2 linked regions of the Pelodiscus sinensis genome follow. The protein of the gene in region 1 interacts with the protein of each later gene in a pairwise test. Links are inferred from orthologs where the notes say so. Each region holds a gene or a part of one and is shown on either strand. Other genes may lie near its edges. The genes, in order: CREB5 and FOSL1.

The links.
Region 2: the proteins of CREB5 (region 1) and FOSL1 interact in binary tests that used the Homo sapiens proteins (3 or more experiments, as listed by UniProt). The two-hybrid records come from large-scale screens. The link is inferred for Pelodiscus sinensis from reciprocal best matches to the Homo sapiens genes CREB5 and FOSL1.

What each region holds. Positions count from the first base shown.
Region 1 is NC_134712.1:195,670,296-195,677,714, reverse strand, and holds the start of CREB5 (cyclic AMP-responsive element-binding protein 5), read left to right. Parts: upstream 1-4,237; 5' UTR 4,238-4,530; intron 4,531-4,868; exon of another isoform or gene 4,869-4,936; intron 4,937-4,984; exon of another isoform or gene 4,985-5,259; intron 5,260-7,419. UniProt on the Homo sapiens protein: Binds to the cAMP response element and activates transcription.
Region 2 is NC_134721.1:32,505,388-32,513,618, reverse strand, and holds the start of FOSL1 (fos-related antigen 1), read right to left. Parts: upstream 3,281-8,231; 5' UTR 3,082-3,280; coding exon of another isoform or gene 3,069-3,081; coding exon 2,947-3,068; intron 1-2,946.

The sequences.
Region 1 (7,419 bases):
TGCATCAAATGTCTGCTTCTATTTCCCTAACAAGCATCTACTTTATATGATAAAAAAAGAACATATGAACTCTTAATGTACAGTGAATTAATGACCACAACATACCAGGTGCATTCAACTAGTGCCAAGTAAGTTAATTGATATGACAATGTAAATTAAATGTTCCTTTGTGTGACATATAGGTGACAGCATGCAAAATATCTGAGCAAAGATGATATCTATCATTGTAAGCACTGTGTTAAAGAGAAAATGTCAGATAGTATAAACCCAAAATGGGGGACACTTTCTACTCTGCGTCCACACTACCACTGAGTTCTGTCGACATAACGTCGACAGAACTCAGCAGTTTTGTCGACGCTGGTAAACCTCATTTTACGAGGCATAATGCCTTCTGTCGACAGAGTTTCTGTCGACAGAAGGTGTTATTGCATGTAAACTGTCCTTTGCGACCACACTACCATGTCGACAAAGGAGCTTGCTTTGTCGACAGAACTCAATGTAGTCTAGACGCTCTTTGTCGACAGAAGTTTTGTCGACAGTATCTGTCGACAAAACTTCTGTCGACAGAAGCCTGTAGTCTAGACGTACCCTTGGAGAAAGAAGCTCCTATTCCACTACTCAAATACCAGTGAATTTGACATCAGTCAGTTACATGGAAGCCCATCTTCCAGAATTTCAGGATATCAGTTATATGACATAGCATTTCTTGATTGACAAAGGACAGTGCAGCTTTTTCTCCTTCTATTGATCCTAATATATGAGCTTAATTGTACAGCATTCCTGTGCTGTTAAATAACTGACTTGTTTCTCCCCAGAAATAGCTGCAGTTGTGAGTGAACTGATTCTTCTGTTTATAGTTTGAAATATGAATTGGGAACACTTGAAATGAAAGGTGTTTTATAAACATAGGCTTATTTATAAGAGTCCAAGAATAATACCTGACAAAATGAAAACAAATTATACTGCAAACAGTTTATTCGTCCATATCCTAAGAAGCTAAACTAACTCAAAGTCTATCATCAGGACCTCTATGAGCTTTAAACCCTATATAAAATATGGGTAAAAGTCAAGCACAGTAATTATTTAACAGTGGTATAGAAATGCAGAGCTTTTATGTTGCATCACCGTAGGCTTAGGAGCTAAAAGCCTGCATCAAGATTCTGAGTAATTATTACTGAGTCAACCTTAAAAAACAACAAATTGTCCTGCAGCAACCTAGAGACTAACAAAAATGTAGGTGGTATCATGAGCTTTTGTGGGCACAACCCACTTCTTCAGATGAATGGAGCAAGGGTCCAGAGGTACAAATAAATAGCAGAAAAAGAGGGGATGTGGAGAGAAGGAGAAGGGGAAAAAATGGTTCATTAGAGTGTTCATGGTAAATGAGGCTAATAGAGTGGGCTGTAAGTGCCTGATACTTAGCTTTTTTATGTCATTAGGTTGTTGAATGTAGCAGCCCATCCAGTTCAGGTCTTTGTTCAAACCTTGACTAAAGGCATCAAATTTACAAATGAAGGCAAGTTCCACAGTTTCTCTCTCCAGATAGTTTTTTGAAATTGTTTTGTAAGAGGATAGTCACTTTTAGATCCATTAATGAATGGCCAGGCAAGTTAAAATATTCCCCAACAGGTTTCTGTGTGTTACCATTTTGAATATCTGATTTGTGTCCATTAATCCTTTGTCATATAGACTGTCTAGTTTGGACAATATACATGGCAGAAGGGCATTGTGGGCGCTTGATGGCATATATCATATTAGTGGATGTGAAGTTGTATGAGCCTCTGATCCTGTGGCTTATGAGGTTAGGTCTTGTGATGATGTTGCTTGTATAGATGTGTGGACAGAGTTGGCACTGGAGTTTATTGCAGGGGGTGGGTTCCTGGGTGAGTATGATGGAGGTGTGTTGTGTAGTTGCTGGAAAGAATTTGTTTCAGGGTAGGTGAAGATTGGCCTGTCCCCCAAGGCCTGTGAGTGAGAGGTCATTTTCCAGGATAGGGTGTAGATTATTAATGATGCGCTGGAAGGGTATGAGCAGGAGTGGCCCGAGGCTGGCTGTGGCAGCTGGCTCCCTAGGCAGCACGGCGCAATCGGCACCCCTGACTGAACGGCCATCAATGACCATAACTTCATCACGGGGCACCCCGGCGCCCTGTGATGTCATCATCGGGCGCCTGGGCCAGTGGTGCCTAGGCAGCTGCCTAGCACGCCTAGGCTCATGGACCGCCCCTGGGTATAAGTTGGGGCTGTAGGTGATGATCAATGGTGTTCTGTTAGTTTGTTTGTTGGGCCTATTTTGAAGAAGCTGATGCCTGGGTACTCATTTGGCTCTGTTCATCTGTTTTTTCACTTCCCTGGATGGGTATTTAAGTTTTAAGAATGCCTGATAGAGATCATGTAGGTGTTGTGTTAATGGCACGTTCCTCCAGTTAGCTCCAAACAGGATATATTAAGAGCGACAGTGTTTGTTTGGGTAGAGGAAACTAGACCATGGGTTGTTAGGTTGTTCTAGGAACACCCAGATTTGGGAGAAAGTTTAGTCTGGCTTATATTTTATTATTGAGTTAGTAATAAGTCAAGCTCCAGCAAGGGAAAGGGCTGGGCTAGGGCACCTATTCTACAGACTGTGTACCAGTTGGAGTAGGAAGGCAACAGAGTCAATCATATCTCTAGATGACTAGAAGGATACAATGCTAACCACTCTGTATAATACTTAGTATCTGGGATCAATGACCAGAGGTACCAGAGCTATAAATTGTGAAGCCTGAGGTGCTCAGGATGGGGTAAGGATGTTAAATTGTGTTTAATCAGCTAATTGAGTAGTAGATGGAATTTCCACTGACTACTTGATTAGTCGATAAGGGGGGAAACTGCAGAGGCACAGTGGGGTTAGTTCCTGGTCCCGCAAGCTAACCGTGTTGCATCTTTGCCTTTTACATGTATTAAGTGCTGCCAGGCGCTTAATACATTTAAAAGGCAGAGACGTAGTGGGGGGACTAGGCTCAAGTCAGGAATCAGCTGTCCTGGCTCTCATCCAGTCCCCCCTGCTGCGCTTCTGCTCTGCTTTTTAAATGTATTAAGCGCCATTTAAAAAGCAGAGGCGCAGCATCTGGGACCGAGTGCGAGCCAGGACAGCTGATTCCCAGCTCACGCCCAGTCCCCCCCCCCCCACTACGCCTCTGCTTCCCCTGCCCCAGCTGTGGAGATGATGCTCCCCTGTCCCCAGACCGGCTGCTGTTCACCACCTTGCTGCCCTTACATTTCTTGTAGGGGATGTTTATTACTTTACTCAGAGGAGTAGTCTAATGGACTCCTAGAACTAAAACGTGCTATAGTTTGCAACATTGAGGTGAAAATTGTATTTTTACATCTTACATGATGCTGATCATGTTGGTGCTTAATAAATAACTTGTGAATACATAAGGAACTGTCTTCATAGACCAACACCTAAGGAAAGTGAATTTACAGAAAAGTTAATTGATTTGCCTATGGTAACACAGCACATCTATAAGAGAAATCAGGAACAGACCCCCATCTCCAGACTCCTATTCCTTGTCTTCAGCCATTCTTTCCCCCCATGCTTGTGAGGATCTGATTCAAAGCCCTGTGGAGTCAGTGGCAGTTGTTTGTGTGGTAGCATGGTAGCTGTAAGACAGGAAGGCAAGGCACTTTGTTGTGTGTGTTTTACTTTTACCTTGGCAGTGTCCCTTTAACGCTGCATAGATAGGCAAGACTAAAATATCTTCTCTCCCTTGCTACAGCTTCTGATCTCTCCACCCATATCCCTTCTATGAAGCACAGTAATGCAAGTCCTGTTGTAAAACCCCCGTGTAAGAGAAGCAGTCATATGTAGCGATACGATCTAGAGATGAATGAGTTGGCGGTGGGAACTAAAATCCCCCCTAGTATTCCCCTCTCCCCCCAAAAATATCAGATTGAGGGTTTTAGCTCAATCGGGGAGAGATTGCTGCGTTGGGCCACCAGCCGCTACACAGTACACTGGCAGCGCGGGAGTTTAATGGGCGGACTGGAGCGGTTCTTCTCCTGGGGCACACTTCGTGGAGTGGAGCTCAACCCACCCAATTCGGGAAACAGCTCTTGCCCGGCCCCTGCGAATCAATGCAGCCTAGTAGGGAACCCGCCTCTTTGGACTCGTCCCTGCTTCCTCCCCAAATCCATAAAGCGGGAGATTTTTTCCAAGCTGACTCACACGCCTCATGTCAGTCCTGTCACATCCAGCGCTGCAAGCTGTTGCTTGAGCCGTGGCTGCTTTGCACTAGCCACCCGCCCCCTCTGCTCTGGGTGGCTGGCGGGCGGGGGCGGAGTCCGGGGAGACCACGCCCCCGCGGGCACGCCTACCCCTCCGCTCCCCCGGCGCACAGGGACCGCAATGATTTAGAAGTTCAGGAATCCCACGTGACGTCACCGAGGGTGATGTAATGCTTCTCTAAATAGAACGTATTGTAACCTTCCCTCAGTCCAACGTGGTTCCTTCACCCAAGCTGCTGGTCCTTTCCCTTCTACACTTGTTTGGTAAGTTCCTCTAAATCTTGCTCTGACTTTATGAAACTCACTTTTCAGTGCATTTAAAGTCTCGCTTCCTGGACGCGTTAAAGTACTTGTGTGCATAGGACTGAGCGGCTAGGGACTGGGAGCGTGTGTGAATTAACTGGGGAGAAAAGGGGGGAGGATTTAAAGTTAGGGGGGAGACATCTCATTCATTGCAAAGAGGTTTATTGTGTTGGGGGTGGTTTGAACGGGGAGGGGGGAAGGGGGAGTAAACAGTAGCTTTTTGCTACTAAGCCTGGGACTGTTTAGTTTGTTTTCAATGTATGATAGTACTCATTTGAGATTCCCCCCTCCCTTTCCAGGAGGCGCTTTAGTGGCTGCGATGTTTGATCAGTGAGATGCTTCTGTGAAGATGGCTTTTTGAACGTGTGTGTGTATCGCTCATTCCTCTCAGTGACTGGCCGGGTGGTGGGGGTGGCGGTGGGGGCACCGGAAAAGTTGCTGAAGCAGCAAGAAGCGCAGTGAGCAGTCGGAGCGAGCGAGGGCAGCAACTTTGCGATTCCTCTGTTCAGTACACCAAGCAAACAGTTGGAAAGTTTTGAAACTCTCTCGCTGTGTATGTGCGTGTGTTGAAACAAGAGCTAGCGAAGTCATTAGTATGCTGCCGGGACCGTAAGCGTGTGTATGCATGTGTGTCCGAGAACCGCTGAGATGTAACTGCTGCTGCCATCTCCCGCTGTCTGCACGGAGCATGTAGGTACAGACTGTGGCAAATTCAGTATCATTCTTGCTGTAGCTCTTTCGGGAGAGGATTTTTTTAACTAGACACAGAAGTCTGGAAGGCTGATGCTCCCCCCCCCCCCCATCTTTGCCTTATTTCTTTCCGGCATAACATCTTTTCTTGCCGCTGCTGTAATGACAGCTCTTGGGTTCCTAGAACTGCTCTCAGAAGTCTCCCTGTCTTCGTGAAGCTTTCGCTTTCTTCTTATCTGAACTAGATTCCAATCGCTGCAACTTTGATTTAAGTTTTGGAAAAGGCTTCTTAATCCAGAGCACCAGAGGCTCAACTGCCTACCGGTTGCTGGTTCACGTGTATGTATTGTTTCTTAAATGGACTTTTATTGGTGACTGCACAACATACTGATCTTCCCACCTCCCCTTCCTCAGCTCCAGTCCCCACATGATGCCTATTGTTATGGCTCAGGACTGGAGTGGGCTGTGTGTATATTTCGTTGTTAGGTGGCTGCATCGCTATGTTTGGTTCTCTCCCGCCGCTCCCCCCCCCCCCCCCACGCCCTTCTGACATATCTCTGGGAATAAGGCTGGATACTGGGCCATTACGTCATTCTGCAGACTAGTAAGTGTTTGATTAACAGCCTTAGATACTGAAGGGTTCAGGGGGTTAGAAGTGCTGACAAAGCAACTCTCCCTTTTACAGTCCCCACTGGCTAAGCACATCTTTTTTAAGCCCCCCCCCCCAATTCAATCCATATCTCCTTTATTACTCCTGTGATTTAGGCTTCTCTCTCCTTCTCTTTAGATAACTTTTGTCCTTCCAGAATTGTAAAGGGTTCTGGAATGTAATGGGAATACCTGCTAAACCCTGCCCTTTCTGTTATTTATGTCCAGGCATGAGTGAGCCGTCATCTCCCGGCTTTATTATAAATGTTGCAGTCTGAAAGAGAGAAGTGGTTCAAAGTGGATATTAATTCAATAAAATGATGGTCCACATGTGTGTCTTGTACAATTAAAATGTCTAAAGAGTACTTACTTAACACAGTATGACCAGAGGATTTCTGTATTTTATCAATAGGAAACAATATACAGACAGATGGAAACAGATGTTAGACCAAAGGACAATAAGAGTTCTTGGGTTTTCCTTGAGACCATACGTTTCAAAGATAACTCTTCTTCTAGTTGCACCAGAGTTCCTTTGCCTGGCCATTTGGAGAAAATATAGTGTGTCAAATAACAGTGGAGGAAGAATTTTCTTCTGAAACTGTCAAGTAGAAATAATCCAGAAACCAGACTGTAAAGTTTTTTTTTTAATAAATTGTTTCTAGAGTTATAGGGTGAGAACAAAATCAAAGAAAATCTATACTTTGACACAGTTTGTGGGAATTTGTTCTGAAGTAGATACGCTTTGGTAGAATATTAAAAAAAAAACTATAGAAAATGTACAAGTTTGAATGCCCCCTTTGGCATGTCTTTGGATGAAGTCAGCATTACAATGTTAAAAATACTTTTAAAATGTTAAACTTCTCATTTGTTACTCCTTAGTCCTAAAGGGAGCAGTGCAGGTTGCAAAGCATCAGAAAAAAGTGTGGTTAACGATCAGTGATTAGTGATAAGTGATTAGTGGTTTTATTCAAACTGTTACCTCTGACCAGAAGCACACATCAGAGGATTAACAGGCTCTTTAGATAAATGCTCATTAGTGGAAGGAGAAAAACGAAGATAATAGGCATGCACACAGGGACAACTTTCGAGGAAAATCATTCCTGTCTCTGGAATAATAAGCTCTATTAGCAGAAAGCCTCTTTAAATTAAAAGTTGCTTTTATCTTGTAAATCAAAGTTAGATGTAGAAGGTCACTCTGCTATTATAAGCTAAATTTTCCCATATCCACTAGATGTGGATTATCCCAGTTGTGATATTTATTTAAATAAACAATTGAATCTTTAAAGAAACTGAAAATTCTCAAGTGCCAAAGTCCTGTATTTTAAGGTATCCACTTCAAACATAGAAAGGGAAGCCTGCTGTCAGCTAACTAGATGGCGTAGTACTGTTCTCTGTGAACATACAGTTCTGGATTATAAACCAAGCAAGTTGCTGCTTGCTAGATGTCCTTCAACACTTTCTACAAAGTTGATTTTGTGCTGGTTTGGAGGTTAGACAGTTCTACAAGTTTTT
Region 2 (8,231 bases), on another chromosome or scaffold:
TTGGCTCTAGTCCGTTCCCTCAGCAACAGAGGCCAAGGGCTCCGAGAGGCAGAGGCAAGGCACCTGCTGGGGGTGGGACATCACAGAGGGCTCTGTGCTGCCACTCTGGGCACACACTGGTGATTCCAGCTCCCAGGGCTGCTGAGTCAGCACGATCTGGCGTGTCCCTGCGTGTGAGCAGCAGGGGTGTGTGCGGAAATCCCACCCGCAGATAACCCGCCCTTTGTCCTCCCCACCCTTGACCCAGTTTCCCTGGCCTTGTGGGTCCCTTCCCAGCCCTGGTGTGCAGGTGTCACCCGCAGGGTATTGGTGCCACCCAGCCCTGGGGCAGCAGGCTGGCCGCGCCTTCTGTGTCAGAGAGAGAGCACACCTCAGGGGCTGGGCATGGGAGCGGAGCTTCCCAGGCCCCCTGCCAAGGCTAGTGGCTACAGCAGCTGGGGCTGGGCGCCAGGATGCCTGGGTTCTGTTGCTGGTACTGGGAGGGAGGGCAGGGGAGTATAATGGCCTGGGGGTCAGGACGCTGGGTACTGTGGGCAGTTCTGGGAGGGGAGGAGGCAGCTGGGGGTCAGGACGCTGGGTTCTGTGGACAGTTCTGGGAGGGGAGGGGGCAGCTGGGGGTCAGGACGCTGGGTTCTGTGGGCAGTTCTGGGAGGGGAGGAGGCAGCTGGGGGTCAGGACGCTGGGTTCTGTGGACAGTTCTGGGAGGGGAGGAGGCAGCTGGGGGTCAGGACGCTGGGTTCTGTGGGCAGTTCTGGGAGGGGAGGAGGCAGCTGGGGGTCAGGACGCTGGGTTCTGTGGACAGTTCTGGGAGGGGAGGAGGCAGCTGGGGGTCAGGACGCTGGGTTCTGTGGACAGTTCTGGGAGGGGAGGGGGCAGCTGGGGGTCAGGACGCTGGGTTCTGTGGGCAGTTCTGGGAGGGGAGGGGGCAGCTGGGGGTCAGGACGCTGGGTTCTGTGGACAGTTCTGGGAGGGGAGGAGGCAGCTGGGGGTCAGGACGCTGGGTTCTGTGGACAGTTCTGGGAGGGGAGGGGGCAGCTGGGGGTCAGGACGCTGGGTTCTGTGGGCAGTTCTGGGAGGGGAGGGGGCAGCTGGGGGTCAGGACGCTGGGTTCTGTGGGCAGTTCTGGGAGGGGAGGGGGCAGCTGGGGGTCAGGACGCTGGGTTCTAGCCCCTGTGCGGCAGCTGTTGGCACGCGGACGGCAGGCGCCGCAGCTGGCAGTGGGGTGGGGCCGGCAGCTGTCGCAGGGCCGCCCTTATGCAAGAGGAAACGGCGGAATCTCAGCACCCTGGCCACGGGCTGGGGTGAATGGCGGGGCCAGGCGGGGTGAGCGCGACCGTGACTCAGCCCCGCCGGTTCTGATGACTCACCGGGCATGACTTAGCACCCTGGAGCTCCAGCGGGAGCCATCTCCCGGTCTGCCCTGCTGCCGTAGCCTGGAGCCCCCCGCCCCCACTACACGCATCCAGCTGCTGTGGGAAGGAGCTGCCTGGGGTCTGTCTTCAGTGGACTGCCTGGGTCCCCCTCTCCCACGGCTCCGAACAGCCCAGAGAGGGAGGCGAGTCGTAAACCCAGCTGGCCCTGACCTCCTCCTCAGCTGGATTTTCAGCTCCGTGCCCGTCCTGCGGGACACGGACGGAGGAATCCGGAGATGAAGTGGTTGCCCAAGAGCTGGCCCAGAACCCAGCAGTCCGGACTCCCATCACCCCCAGCCGTAGAGCTCAGGCGTCTGCCTTCCCCTTTCCAACTCTAACTCCTAAACCCCGCTCCCCTCCCCGAGCTAAAGTGCTGCGGGTCTGGCCGATCCACCAACCCGCTGAACTTAGATGCCCTGCTGCATGTGCTTCCTCAGCCCCCTCCTGGATGGGGTATACTGTGTGTCATAAACCCTGTAGGATGACATTTGACGGGGAGTCCCCCCGACTGGAACAGGGTCTCTGGGGTGTCTCATTACGGTGGCTGGGCGGTGGGCAGGGACACGGACACCCCAGGCCCCCACAGCGCAAGATCAGCGTAAGGCTCAGTCAGCTGCCGGAGTAGGGAGCCCCCCCCCCCCATCACTCTGCTGTAGAGCGCCGGGCGGGGGAAACCCCTGCATTTTTCTGCTGTCTGCACGCGAGTGCCTGCGTGTGGGGGGGAGGGGGCAAACAAGCAGGCGCCACGCGGTGGGGTGAATCAACCCGGAGCATTAGTCACCGGGGCTCCCCCCAGGAGGGAGAGTGAGGGCTCCCCTCCCCCCGCTCCTCCAAAAGAAACGAGAGCGAAAACGAGAAAGGAAAGGGAAAGCACAGCATGGGCAGGCGGGACAGAGCCTGCGGAGGGGATCGGTGACTGGCTAGCGGGCAGGTGGCGAGCTAGGTGGGTGAGGAAGGAAGGGAAGGACAATCAGAAAGTGGCATGAATAGACAGCTGGGGATGAGGATGGCTAGAGAATAGATTAGACAGGAGAGTGGGTATGACAGACAGTGAAGGAATGGGGGTAAACCAACAGACTGTGGGGGAATGAGGGTACACTCATAGACTGTGGGGAAATGGGGTGGACTCACAGACAGTGGAGGTGTGAGAGTAGACTGATAGTGGAGGAGTGGGTGTACACTGACAGACTGTGGGGGTATGGCGGTAGACTGACAGACAGTGCGGGTATGGGAGTGGACTGACAGTGGGGAAAGAGGAGCTGGAACAATTTGTATCATGGGGGCGCTAGAGCCACTGTGAAACCAGTACCCTCCCAGCGCTTCTGGAGGAGGTGTGCATGGGGACTGGGCACTGCCGGGCAGACATCAGGGGAGGTGTGCATGGGGGCGGACAGACAGACAGGTGCGCATGGGAACGGGCAGATGGGGAGGTGTGAATAAGGACCGACAGACGGACACAGCGGAATAGGTATGGGGATTGGAGACAGATCGACTGCCCCCTAGTTCTTTTCCCTTTGCCCCGCTTCCCCCTTACCTGCTGCGGCTGCCCTGGTCCCGGAGTCCCTGGAACGACGGCCGATCCCATGCTGCGCAGGGCAGGGTGCTGAGGGCGAGGGTTGTACGAGGATCCCGGGCCATCCGTACTGCCCGCTCCATAGTTCCTGAACATGTCTAGATCTGCTCTGGGGCCGTAAGATGCCGGGTCAGTCCGCCAAGCGCTTCTCTAAACTGGCTCCCTCCAAGTTACTTTTTTTATGAATGGGTACTCCAGGACCTGCTCACTTTAGTCTAGGCAGGGGAGGGGCGAGTCCCACCTCACGCCCTTTTCAAGTCATCAGGAAGCAGAGAATCCCCGCTCCAGTAACCCACTCTGGTGTTTCTCAGACTTATTCAATTAAGATGCACCCTTTTTAGGGGAATCAGAGTTGGTGAGCCCCTAAAAGGACAACCAAGTCAATCTTTCCCCCTTACTCTAAATCTACTTGGTACGGTCTGGGGATTGACTCAGTGCTCGATGACGTAGATGTCCATATATAGTATGATTTCCTCTGGCTTGCTCTGCAATAGTAAAGGATTCCCCTCGGTGTTTGTTTCCAAACTCTGTTTGTTCAAGATGCGTATCGGAGATCCCGTCGCAGCACTGCAATAACAACGCCACACAAACAAACACCCACACCTATACACTTTCACATACACCCCGAACCTCAGGCAGGTGCAACACCCAACACCGCTCACATATGTACAACCACCCCACTCTTACTACAGCACACACCCTGCACACCACCACGGCGTGCACCTCTGTACCACACACAGCTGTGCAACAACACGTCCATCCCCTCACAACCACGATGGATGTGGAGCTACATGCATCGCTGTTGCACAACTACAAGCATCGTTGTTGCACACAGAAATACACACATGGGCACCTTCCACACCCCGCGCAACAATAAACAGGCCTAAACACGGACAGACAGACACTCCCATCAGGCCAGGTAGATGGTTTTCACATGTCAAAGATACAAAGACGCAGCGAAAGACACTCTCCCCCCCCCCCTCCCTCCCTTCCCCAGCGTCCAATACATGAATTCGGGGCTGGCTGGATAGGACCCCAGGAGCAATGCGGGCCGGGCCCTGTTTATAGGTGCTCGCTTTCCCCCCCCCCCCCCCCCCCCCCCGCACATGCCTGGCGCTGCCAGGTTTTGGGGCCCAATGAGATGATTGTAAATCCCGTGAATCCCCATTTCCCCCAGCGGTGCAGGAGCTGGAATTCCCCCCCCCCCCCAAGGTTAGAATAGGAACACCCAGCCCAACCCAGGCGTATCCCCCTGCAATCTGGCTGCGACCTCTCCTCCTGCAGTACCGCAGAGCCCCTTGCTCTTTGAACAGAGACTAAGCCTGACTCCCCCACCCACCCCTGCTGAGACTCTACAGTCTCCCCTCCCCGTAAGCGGCTGGAAGATGCCCTAGTGTGGAGAATGGAAGTGGCCAGCTAAGTGGGACTCAGAACTGTATTCTGTCCCCAGCTTTGGAAGGAGGGAGGGGGGCCTATTGTGTTAGAGCAGGGGCGGGGGCCAAGGCCCCTGGACCATCCCACCCTAGCTCTAGTTAAGGAGTGGGGTCAGGTGGGTTAAAGTAGAGGGGGCTGGGGTCCTGCCTCCTGGTTCCACCCCCAGCTGGTGGTTTCCCTCGCTCCGAGTGGGCTGCGGGGGTGTACATTCCTGACGCGCAGCAGACGCCTTTGGTCAGAAGCAGGAACTGAAAGCGCCTACCAGCGAAACTGGCAGGGCTGGGCCCAGTGCAGAGAGTGAGAGCATGTCCGGCTCCCGTCCCGCTGCCCCGCGGAGCCAGAGCGCCAGAGTTACCTCCCGCTACTGCTCGGAGACCCCGTGGAGCGAGGGACCCCGTTGTGCCAGACACAGCACAGACCCAGGGAGACACCGTCCCTGTCCTGAAGCGCTCACTGTCTAAACAGATCCCATGTGGAAGGAGAAAATAAGGCACAGAGAGGAAGAGGCTCCTTTAAGGTCACACAGCAGGTCACTGGGGGAGCAGGGAATGAAACCCAGAGGTCCTGTTGCTCAGAGTCCCCTGCCTTAACCGCTAGAACCCCCTCCAACCACCAGGAAGAGAACCCCAGGGGTCCTGGCCGCTTCCCCCAACCTCCAAACAATCAGTTCTTCTGGGCCGTGGCCACAGGGTGGGGGCCAGTGACTCCCCGACCAATGCACCATGATCCCTAGGGTCTGGCCCTGTGCGGGTTAACAATCCATCTCCCCAAGGACCAGGACAGGATGTGAGACACAGGAATGCAGCTGATCTCATGCTCCCGGTGACTAACCTGGCAGGAATGGGGGGCAGAGAGCAGCCAGCTGGCACCCTGCCACTGGCCTTGGGGACCAAGGAGAGATCGGGAGCTATGGCTGACTCCCATCCTAGCTACTGTCCCCCCTGCTCCCCGGTATTTAAACCCTTAGCACAGAGCAATGCAGTCATCCCATTTCCCTGGAGACTAGCATGGGACAGATGCTGGGAGGCTGCAGGTTGGGACTGAGTGTCACCGGCAGAACCACATGGGGAGGGGGAGCCCAGGATTGGAATAGCAGGGAGCTGCAGACTGGCATTGAGTAGCACTGATGGAGGGTGCAAAGCAGGGGGCTGCAGGCTGGCACTGAGGGGAACAGGCAGAGCTGGGGGGGGGGGGAAGCCCAGAGCAGAGGGCTGCAGGCTGGCACCGAGGGACACTGGCAGATCTGGGGGGGGGGGGAAGCCCAGAGCAGAGGGCTGCAGGCTGGCACCGAGGGGCACTGGCAGATCTGGGGGGGAAAGCCCAGAGCAGAGGGCTGCAGGCTGGCACCGAGGGGCACTGGCAGATCTGGGGGGGAAAGCCCAGAGCAGGGGGCTGCAGGCTGGCACCGAGGGGCACTGGCAGATCTGGGGGGGAAAGCCCAGAGCAGGGGGCTGCAGGCTGGCACCGAGGGGCACTGGCAGAGCTGGGGGGGAAGCCCAGAGCAGGGGGCTGCGGGCTGGCACCGAGGGGCACTGGCAGAGCTGGGTGTGTCCCAGCATTTCAAATTCTCCGGTCATCTTATTCCGCCTTTGAAAGCAGCAGCAGTTTCCGGCGGATTCCTGGAGAGCGATGGAGCTGGGGGCGGGGGGTTTCACACAGGCTCCCTCCAGATCGGCACGTGGCACTCACAAGTGTGTGTGGCTGCGAGGCAGGAGGCAGGGCCCCTCCGTGTCTATGGAAGGAACGGGCCAAATCCCAAACAGGAGACGGCCGAGCGCTTTGTGTGCTCATCCACTTACTCACCCTTCCTCTTCCTCCTGACTTTACTCACTTGGCGACTCGGGGTTTGGATCCCAGCCTAACCGGGCACAGCTCCAGGGCTGGGAGAGCAGAGGCTGCAAGTCGGGATTGAGGGGCAGTGGCAGAGACGGGAGGAGGCGATCCAGGGTGGGGGGAGGAGGCGATCCAGGGCGGGGGGAGGGGGCTTTAAGCTCGGCTCAAGAGCCACCTCTCTGGGACTCAAGGACAGCAGGGAACCAGCGTTACCATCTCCTGAGGACACGCAGAGCATGTTAACCCCTTGCTTGCTAGAGCAGAGGGACTGTGGGTGCTGCAGGGCTGTGGGGCGGAGGCTGCCTGAAGATCACCAAACATGTACACCGCCCCCCCACCAGCTGGTGAGTTGGCAGGGCCACTTTCAGCAGTGGGCTGCGGGGGGATAGTCCTTCCTTATCTCCCCTCCCCCACAGTTTAGGGCCCTCCCTCTGCTCTGAGGCTCAAATACTGTCAGGCTGAGGTGCTACAGCATGAGAGGCCATGAGTCTGCGGGGGAAGGGGTATCTCTGCCCATCCCAATCGTGGGCACAAGGGCTAGGGGTGCCAGTATGCACACCAATGCCGCCCAGAACGCAGAGAAGCCCCAGGCACCCTGACACCCCCATGCTGCTCTAAGCTAGCAGTCCCCATAGCCCTTCCAGCATCCCAGTAAATCATCTGCCTGGGTTGGCCTAAGAGAGAGGCTCATGGTCTGTGCCTTTCACCAAAAGCAGTTTTGCCCCTTCCTGTTGCTCCCACCTCCCTTTGGCCCTGTCCCCTGAAGCCCTGCCCTGCTTCCTACCTGCCGTGCTATGTAGAAGATCCCTATGAGCCAGGACTTCTGGGTTCTATTCCCAGCTCCGAGAGGCCAGACAGTTGCATGGCAGCCCCTTAGCATGAGGGTGGGTCCCTCCTTGGGCTTGAGGCAGATGGTGCCAGGCTGGCATACTGAATTGCTGGCACCATGCCCAGCCAGGAGACCGTCCTGGAGCAGCGGGTGTCTGTGGAGCAGGAGGGAGCATTCAAGTCAGTTGTCTTAGTGCTGAGAGATTCTTGTAGAAAAGTCAGACTGGGGCTATGTCTACACTACAGAGTTTTTCTGGGATACCAGAGTCCCAGAAAAACTCTGCTGTGTCCAGAGAACACCTCTGATCTTCTGAATTTTTTTCAGAAGAGCAGATGCACTTTTTCAGCATTCCTGTAAATCTCGTTTTACAAGGAAGAAGGGATGTTCCAAAAAAGATTTTTTTTCTGACATTTAGCCCAGTGTAGATGGACCAAATGTTGGAAAAGCCTCTTCTGAAAAAAGAAGCGGAAAAAGCTACACAATTTGCACTTCACAATGTGCATAGCTTTTTCTGGAAGAACAGTGTAGTGTAGACATAGCCTGCGTGAGACAGAGTGAAAGAGGGATTGGATACAGGGCCTTTCTCCTCTTGGGGCACTGGATTTGATGTGACCCCAGACCGGCTCAGGGGATTGGGTAAGGGGCTATAGAGCCTCTCACCTCTAGGGGATACCTGACCCCATATAGACCTAAGTCATTCATAACTTCAGGCCATTCACAGCTCTGCTGGTGGACTGAGTTGTGGGCCCCATGCCCTGAGGTGTCTGCATCACACCAACCCAAACAGAGAGGCCAAGGGCTGAAGGGTCCACAGAGAACCACTTCCCCTTCAGAAGGGGGCTACAGCAGGCCATTTGTGGAAGAAGGTCTCCATGCTGCAGCCCCATTTTAGGACAAGTATAATCCAGGGCTACGTCTAGACTGGCATGATTTTCCGGAAATGCTTTTAATGGAAAAGTTTTCCGTTAAAAGCATTTTCGGAAAAGAGCATCTAGATTGGCGCAGAGTTCACGTTATAACAATGCGCTTTTGCAGAAAAGCATCCGTGCCAATCTAGACGCACTTTTGCGCAAAAAAGCCCCGATAGTCATTTTCATGATCGGGGCTTTTTTGCGGAAAACAAATCTGAGCTGTCTACACTGGCCCTTTT